Linked DNA regions of Oryctolagus cuniculus. The protein of the gene in region 2 binds, or shares a complex with, the protein of the main gene of each other region. Links are inferred from orthologs where the notes say so. Each region holds a gene or a part of one and is shown on either strand. Other genes may lie near its edges. The genes, in order: GDF2 and ACVR2B.

Region 1 (4,539 bases), on a different chromosome or scaffold from region 2:
CACACCAGGAGAACCTGATGACTGGGACTTAAGGCATCTCATTGTCAAAAGGCACTGAACTGGTGAGGACCCTCACACGGGGACAAGGACTAAAGGCATTCATTGTCAGGCTTAGGGGAAGATGCTCTGGCATGGATTTACAGCAAAGAGCCTCGGAGGGGGACGTGAAAGTCAGCGTTACAAACCTCAGCGTCTACACTGTGTATAAATCCTTTGGAGTAGTAAATCCAAAGCACAGTGAAAACAGATTTTTTTTTTCCAGTATTCGTGGGGAAAAGATCTATTAGCCTCATGGCTTTGTCACATCAGGCAAAACGGGGCCTGTTTTTTAGATAAGTAATCACTTCCATTTTCCTCTTCCTGGGACTGCTGTTGGGGCATATAGGATTAAGCCTCTGCTTGTGATGCCGGCATCCCATATGGGTGCTGGTTCAAGCTGGACTGCTCCTCGTCCAATCCAGCTCCCTGCCAATGTGCCTGGGAAAGCAGCAGAAGAGGGCCCAAGTGCTTGGGTCCCTGCACCCATGTGGAAGACCGAGATGGAGCTCCTGGCTCCTGGCTTTGGCATGGCCCAGCCCTGGCCATTGCAGCCATTTGGAGGAATGGACCAGCCGGTGGACTCTCTCTCTCTCTCTCTTTCTCTCTCTGTAGCTCTGCCTTTAAAAAACCAATCCCTGCTTCCAGGGAGCTGACCCTCAGCCATCAGCCTGTGTCTACTACAACACAGCTCACTAACAGCGAGGGGAGAGAAGTGGTGTTTCTGAGCGCCTACCACGCACCAGCAGCAGCGAAGGGAGTGCTCTCCCAGAACCCTGTGGGCAGGTGTCGGTATCCAACAGACTGGGGCTGGGAAGGGGAGTCCAAGCCCCTCTGTGCCTCAACTTTCCTCATCTGTGAAATGGGGCTCATCCTGCCTGCCTCCCAGAGCCAGGGTGAGGCTCGGATAAAGCGGTGCCTCCAACCTCCTGGACATGGTCTCTGGCTCCCAGTGGACACTTAGTCAAGACTTCTGCATCCCACATGCCCTGCTGCCTCCCATACAGGCTCCCTCCACACACCAAAGCCTGCCTCCCTGGGCCCTCCGGGATCTTGTGTGCAGGGAAGCAGAGGGGAATGCTGGGATCCCAGGAGGGCTCCAAACACGGGACCCAGGGCCTGGGGAGCTGCAGAGTCTGTCTTTCTCAAAAGGGAGGCCAGCGTGTTACAAATCAGGCTCGTTCACGTGGAATCTGGATTTTTCTCTTTCGGACAATGGGGAAATCCAGCACTTTGGGCAGGCAGCCGTGACCGCAGCGAGCGGCCCTGACTCCTGTACATGCTCTCTTCCCCAGGCAGGTCTGGTCTGGCCTGGCCTGGCCTGGGTGCTGAGCTGCGAGCCCCTTAGATGTTTGCAAGGCTGAGATCCGGAAGGGGAGAGGCCTGTGCCCCCGCAGCCCTTCAGACAGGACTGCAGCAGTAAGAAGTGTCAGTGCCTTGGGGCTGGCGCTGTGGCGCAGTGGGTTAAAGCCCTGGCCTGTAGTGCTGACATCCCATATGGGCGCCGGTTCTAGTCCTGGCTGCTCCTCTTCCCATCCAGCTCTCTGCTATGGCCTGGGAAAGCAGTGGAAGATGGTCCAAGTGCTTAGGCCCCTGCACCCACGTGGGAGACCTGGAAGAAGCTCCTGGCTCCTGGCTTCAGCCTGACACACTCCTGACCATTGCGGGGCCATTTAGTGAATGAACCAGCACATGGAAGACATCTCTCTCTCTAACTCTGCCTCTCAAGCAAGTAAGTAAGTAAATAAATAAATAAAATATTTTTTAAAAAACTGACGTCTCTTCAAAACTTTCTTAGCAAAACTCATACTATGAAAAAGCTACATGGATTTCAAAATTTTTTTTGCACCAAAATGCACTTTTAAGTCCACTTTTCACAAGGGACTTTTTGAAACTCCGTGGTATGGTAGGGAGCTGGAGACTAACAAGTGTTCTGCTTCTGAGTAGGAGGGGATACCCAGGGGCCAGAGGGAGAGCAGAGGAAGGGCGGGGGGGGGAGGAGGGAAACCTGGCACCCCTGAGCACCTACTGTGTGCCATTGGCCCAGGGGCCAGGGAAGTGGACTCTGCACAGCAAGCGGGGGCGACTGCTGAGCCCTGGAATGAGCCTGGAGAAACCAACAGGCCACTTCTTCATTTCATTTCCCGGCAGCCTGAACGATGACCACCTGAAGCGTGGACCTGCGAGCTCAGTCAGCCCTGGAGACCCCGCCCCCCCGCGAAGCCCTCCCTACCTTCCACGCTGAAGCTGCGCACGATGTTGGAGGCGGGGGTGGAGGACTTGTCCGAGGTGTACCTGTTGTACAGGTCGATCATGTACTGCGGCGGCTCCGCCCTGGTCCTGTCCTGGGAGGGCACCCCGCTCAGGTTGAGGCTGCGCAGGAAATCCATCTTCATGTTCTCCAGGAACACCTGCAGATCCAGCGCGCCCTGCGGCGGCCCCACTCGGGGCTCCCCCTGCGAGGCGCGGCTGTTCCCCGCGCCAGAGGCCCGTCCCCAGCTCTGCAGAGGCTTTCCCTGCCCGGAGCAGGACAGCAGCGACAGCACGGGCAGGGCCACCCACAGCGACCCGGGGCCCATCTTGGAGGAGACCATGGGGCTTTAGCGCGCGCAGGGAGCGGCCTGGGAGGAGCGCGCCCGCATCGTCATCCCGCTGACTCCGCTAGGAGTACTGCCGCCAGCCCCGCGGGCCCGGACTCCATCCGCTTGTTCTTATCTGGCCCCACGAAGCTGCGAGGGGAGCTGTTATCGGCAGGGACCCTCGGTTAATGAAGGTTCTGTAAACATGTGGCAAAGCGCAGGGCCTGTGGGAAGGACACGGCCTCCCGGGAAGAATCCCCTCGACCGGTCGGTCGTCGCCCCTAATTAGGGTCCTGGCTGGTTTCCCGGACAGCTCCATTCAGGGGACACTCCAGCCCCTGGGCTTCAGGAACAAAGAAGCCAGGAAATAAGGCCCAGAAGCCCTCCAAATATAGCAATGACCGCAGTGGACACCCCAAGTTCAGGGCAAATCGGTGTGCGCCTGCTCGGTTGGGAATGGGAACCTGCCACGTGGCCGCACCGCGCCCCTGTGTCTGTCCAATGAGCTGCCTGCCCAGCACTGCCATTCCCATGTCACATAATGTGGCCAGGAGGACCTCGGGGTCAGGGTGGATGGGGGTTCCAACGCCAGCCCCCACGAATGGAACCTGGAGCAGCTTTGACTTTGGTTCTCAGCGCCTCCTGCTCGGAGGGGAATTGTGATGATGGAAGATGGTCAACAGGAGCAGCCACAGGCATGGGTGTCTCTGTTCTGGGTGCCTCCTCCCCACCTCTGGGCCTCCTGAGCTGGAGCTGGGGGAAGAAGCTCCTTGTTCTCTCCCTACCCTCCAGCTCTGCAGTAGCCCTGCAAACACACTGCAGCCTGCCAGCCCCTGGGAGCTCCCAGACCAGCTCTGTCTCTGGTCTGCATGTGTGTGTGTGTGTTGGGGGGGTGGGCAGCCTGCTTCACATCCATCAGCCAGCAGAGCTATGCGGAGTCTGGGCAGGCAGAGAAGGTGGGACGCTCTGAGATGGCTCCCTGGCCAGAGGAGGCTGACAAGCTGCATCCCAGTTGATGTGGCCCGAGGGACCCCAGGGACTGTGTCATTACAGTTTCTGTCTATGTCCATCACAAGAGGCTTTGGTGCAAAGCAAAGAAAGAGCACAGTTCAAAGCACTTGGCAGGTGTGCCTGGTGGTCCACGCTGGGGAGAATTTGAAGCTGACATTGATCCAGGCTGGTGGGGCTCCTGGGGGAGGACACAGAGAGATGCAGGAGGGGCCCAGCAGGCTGTGGTCACAGATCCCAGTGGGGGGAAGGGAGAGACCAGAAACCCTGAATGGCCACACCCGGACGGAACTTGCTGTCCTCATCCAGCTGCTCGGGGGCGGGCAGGAAATGGCTCTGGGCATTGGTCCAGCCCAAGGCAAGAGGAGGGGGGAAAAAGATCCAAGTGGGTGCCAAGCTTGGGAAATGGAGCTGCCCCCTGCCGAGTGTGGCATGGTGCAGGGAGCTTCGGAGGGCAGTAAGTGGCCCCCAGCGTGCTCCAGTCCCAGAGGCCAACGGGACGTTTTCACACGGGAGTGGCTGAGCCGCGTGGTGGCAGGGAGCCCGCTGGATGTGCTCAGGGTGGTACAAGGGTCAGTTAACTGTTGATTTTTTAAAAATGTGACGGGGCAGGCATTTGGTGTTGTGTTCAGTATACTAGTTAGACCTAGTGTAGCCCATGTCATGTAGCCCATGTCAGAGATCCTGAGTTCAAGTCCCAGGTATGTTTCTGATGCCAGTTCCTGCCAACATGCACCCCGGGAGGCAGCAGATGATGGGTCAAGTGGCTGGGTCCCTGCCATCTGCATGGGAGATCGGGATGGAGTTCCAACTCCTGGCTATTGTGGTCATTTGGGAGAGTGAACCAGCAGAAGGGAGCTGTCTGTCTGTCTCTCTGTCTTTCAAACAATTACATAAAAACATTTGAATGTGACAT
Region 2 (3,795 bases):
GACAGGCCCAGCTCGGGCCTGGGGAGGACGGCCCAGGTCAGCAGGTGCCAAGCAGGAGGTCACCACTCTGATCCCCGTCGGGCCTCGGGCCTGCTCCAGCGCAGCCCAGGGCCCCTACGGCGTGGCTCACGTGGCTCACCTTGTCGTGGAAGGCCGTGATGAGCCACAGCTCCACCTCCAGGCTGGAGCCTCGCTTCTCCGCAGCGATGAACTGCAGCAGGTTCTCGTGCCTCATGCCGGGCGTGCTGAAGATCTCCCGCTCACTCTGCCACGACTGCTTGTCCTGGGAGGAGAGGCTGCTCAGCCCCGCCCCACCCCGCCTCCCAGCCTCAGCGTCCGCTAAGCGTCCCGGAGAAGCCCAGGACTGGGCCGAGCTCTGGAGCGCCAGGCCAACAGTGACGCCAGGGACAGACCTGACAGGCGAGAGGCAGAGCTAGGCCCAGCTCTGCTAAGCTCACGGGCAATGGCTTGGGCTGCCTGGTGTCCAGGGCCTCTGAACAGATGCTGACGTCACAAATAAAAGCCGAGGGCCAGCGCTGTGCCATAACGGGTAAAGCTGCTGCCTGCAGGGCTGGCATCCCACATGGGCGCCGGTTCTAGTCCCGGCTGCTCCTCTTCCGATCCAGCTCTCTGCTGTGGCCTGAGAAAGCAGTAGAAAGTGGCCCAAGTCCCTGGGCCCCTGCACCCACATGGGAGACCCGGATGAAGCTCCTGGCTCCTGGCTTCAGCCTGGCCCAGCTCTGGTCATTGCAGCCATTTGAGGGGTGAACCAACAGATGCAAGAACTTTCTCTAACTGTGCCTTTCAAGTGAATAAATATTTCAAAAAATAAATAAATACTACTTTTGAAAAGCCTGGGAAGCAGAGCCGGGCCTGTCCCTGCAGGCCGGGCTGAGCACAGCCTCCCAGCGAGGCCCCGGGCCTGGGGCTCCGCGGAAGCCTCTGTGGCCGTGGACGCCCTGGAGCCCCTGGAACACTCACCTGGAGCGGGAAGATCTTGACGGCCACGAAGTCGTTCATGAGCTGGGCCTTCCAGACACAGCCAAAGCGCCCCCGGGCCTTGACCTCCAGCAGCTGCAGCGGCTTCAGCCCCACCAGAGGGGACGGCGGGGGAGGCGCGGGGTCCTGGGGACGAGCACAGCTTGGTGGGCCTGCGCAGCTGCGCGCCTCTCCCCTGCCCCGGCCCGGCCCCGCCCCGCCGTCTCACCTCATGGACGTCCACGTGGCCGTAGGGAGGCTTGCGATGCCGGTATATCCAGAAGGCCAGCAGGACAAGGAGGGACAGGCCCCCGATGGGCAGCAGCGAGTAGGCCAGCACCGTGAGCAGGGTGGGGGCTGTCGGGGGTGGCTCGTACGTGACTGGGGGACACATGGAGCCCTGCGTCACACAGCCCGCCCGCCCTGACACCTGGGGGGGGGCTGCTGCCACGCCCACCCAGCTCAGCAGCCAATCGCCCCAGGCCGAGGACAGCCCCGCGCGGCTGGGTCAGCCCCTCACCTTCCGGGCCGCCGGCCTCTGGCAGGTGGGTGAAGCGCTCGTTGCAGAAGTTGCCTTCGCAGCAGCAGAAGTACACCTGGGGGTTCTCCTCGGTGGCCACGCACTCCTGCCTGGGGCAGAGGTTTCCAGACCTCCTCAGCCAGGCACGCAGGACTCCCAGCCCGCCTGGCCACGCCCCTCCCCAGGCAGGGCCTTCCCAGCAGCTCATGGGGACGATGGCAGCCAGGGGCGGGCAGCGTGGGGCAGCGTGGGGCAGCGGGCGCACCTGTCGTAGCAGTTGAAGTCGTCCAGCCAGCAGCCCTTCTTGACGAGCTCAATGGTGCCGGAGCTGTTGCGCCAGGAGGCGTAGCAGTGCAGCCGCTTGTCCCGCTCGCCCTCGCAGCGCTCCAGGCCGCTCTGGTTGGTGCGCTCCAGCTCCCAGTTGGCGTTGTAGTAGATGCACTCCCGCGTCTCGGCCTCGCCGTGCCCAGAGCCTGCAGCCCAGGGGGCAGAGACCTGAGCACACCCAGCACTGCGGCCCCACCGTCTGCTCCCAGAGGGAGGCGCCAGAGTGGGCTCACGGACCCCTGCGCACCCCACCTCCCAGCTTCCTGAGAGCCCACCAGCCACTGCAGCTGCCCCAGGCCCAAGCAAGGGGGAGGAGGCAGGAAGCCGACGCCACAGAAGGGTGCCAAGCAGCGGGCCAGACCGACGCCACTGCAGCCGCAGAAATGGGGAGACCCCAGGGCAAGACAGAAGCGCCCTGGTCCTCCGCGGGTGGGCTGGGCTCAGGCAGCGGTGTTTATTGAAGACGCCTATTCCCAGGCCAGCCCTGTCCCAGGGGCATGGGGGCAGAATCCGCATTAGTAACCACCCTCTCTGTCTCTGGTCATTCTGGAACACACCTGGGGACCACACCTGAACTGCCCCCCCGCCCCCCGTCCCTTCTAAGTGCAGCCTCCCCCCGCCACCCCCGTCCCTTCTACGTGCAGCCTACCCCCGCCCCCCGTCCCTTCTTTGTGCAGCCATCACACCCAGGCCAGAGAACATCGCACAGAGCCAAGTCAGCAGCCAGGATCACAGGGGCTATGCGCCTCGTGCGACTCGGCGGGAAGGAGCTGGCTGAGCCACAGTCACAGGTCATCCTCCTGGGCACCGTCCATCCAAGTGGCCAAGCACTAAACCGCCATCTGCCCCTTCTGACGCTTCCCTCCCAGCGTGGCCTCACTCACCAGACCCACCCTACAACTACTCCAGGCCCCAGCCCCAAAGCTGCCCTTGGCCCCAACGGGTCCACCACCTGCAACGGGAAGAAGCCAGTGGGAGAAGCCTGCCACAGCCCCTCAGCGGGTGCCCGTGACCTGGGAGGCAGGGGCAGGTGTGGCCTCACGCTGGCACCCCTGTGGGCACCAAGAGGAAGCCTGCACCAGCCACCCAGCCAACCTCCCCACGTCTCAGGCCTGCTGTGGCCAGTGGCCTGGCACCGGCTGGGCGGGTCTCCCCCTGCAACCACCCCACCCCAGGAAGGAGGAGGGATGGGTGGCAGTCAGGCCCCCGGGGGAGCCAGAGCACAGCCAGGACGGGGTCCCCGAGTACCCTGACCTCGCACCACCCAGGGCCTTCGCCACCTCCTCTCCGTGCCCACGTGGCCTCCGTGAGCAGAGGGCTTGAGCCCCAGGGCTCGTCCCGGGGAGGACCTGACCCCCACAGTGACCGTTCAACAACAGGAGCTCCTTCCAGGGGCACCGGCCAGGGGCAGGCAGCAAACCTCAGGCTCCAGGCTGGATCCCAGGGCTCAAGATGCTACCCAGCCAGAATGGCGGTTCCCAGCCACAACTGCGCCCTTGGCGCCTGGGGCCTAGATCCGACCTGGGAAGCAGACGCAGGGCCTCCTGGGCGGCCAGGTAGCTGGATGTCAGTCTCAGCCCGGGAGGACTTCAGGTCCACAGAGAGGCTCACGCTGGAGAGCACTCTGGCTCCCCCAGGAGGCCCCAGGGCGGCCCTTCCTCAAGCCTAAGGTTTAGGGGGACCCCAGAGGGGAGCAGGTGGGGCGGGAGACCAAAGGCCGGGCAAACACCAGGGGCAGCACCCAGGCGAGCACCTAGGAGGCCCACAGGCCCCGCCCCCCAGCAGCAGCACCAAAGTCAGGGGTGCAGGGCCTCTCTGCTTCCATCGGCCCTTGGGCTGCCCTTGCCACCTGACTTACCATCGTCTTTGGCTAACTAACTGCCCTGCTTGACTAAAGGAGCATTTCAGATATCCACAATGGGTACAAATAACAGGACCAAAAATAACCCCAAGAGAAAATGATGTGAACA

The links.
Region 1: the proteins of ACVR2B (region 2) and GDF2 are in contact, whole or in part, in a crystal structure (PDB 4FAO), measured with the Homo sapiens proteins. The link is inferred for Oryctolagus cuniculus from reciprocal best matches to the Homo sapiens genes ACVR2B and GDF2. Residues at the interface, in NP_001097.2 of Homo sapiens: Asn35, Glu39, Cys49, Glu50, Glu52, Lys55, Leu57, Tyr60, Ser62, Arg64, Val73, Lys74, Cys77, Trp78, Leu79, Asp81, Phe82, Asn83, Glu94, Gln98, Val99, Phe101; in NP_057288.1 of Homo sapiens: Arg333, Ile346, Ala347, Pro348, Lys349, Glu350, Tyr351, Glu352, Lys397, Ser399, Pro400, Ile401, Ser402, Val403, Leu404, Lys406, Gly410, Val411, Pro412, Thr413, Leu414, Tyr416, His417.

The regions. Positions count from the first base shown.
Region 1 is NC_091446.1:80,860,029-80,864,567, forward strand, and holds the start of GDF2 (growth/differentiation factor 2), read right to left. Parts: upstream 2,814-4,539; 5' UTR 2,631-2,813; coding exon 2,270-2,630; intron 1-2,269. UniProt on the Homo sapiens protein: Potent circulating inhibitor of angiogenesis. Signals through the type I activin receptor ACVRL1 but not other Alks. Signaling through SMAD1 in endothelial cells requires TGF-beta coreceptor endoglin/ENG.
Region 2 is NC_091435.1:174,642,467-174,646,261, reverse strand, and holds part of ACVR2B (activin receptor type-2B), read right to left. Parts: intron 1,972-3,795; coding exon 1,764-1,971; intron 1,609-1,763; coding exon 1,499-1,608; intron 1,360-1,498; coding exon 1,208-1,359; intron 1,126-1,207; coding exon 982-1,125; intron 284-981; coding exon 140-283; intron 1-139. UniProt on the Homo sapiens protein: Transmembrane serine/threonine kinase activin type-2 receptor forming an activin receptor complex with activin type-1 serine/threonine kinase receptors (ACVR1, ACVR1B or ACVR1c).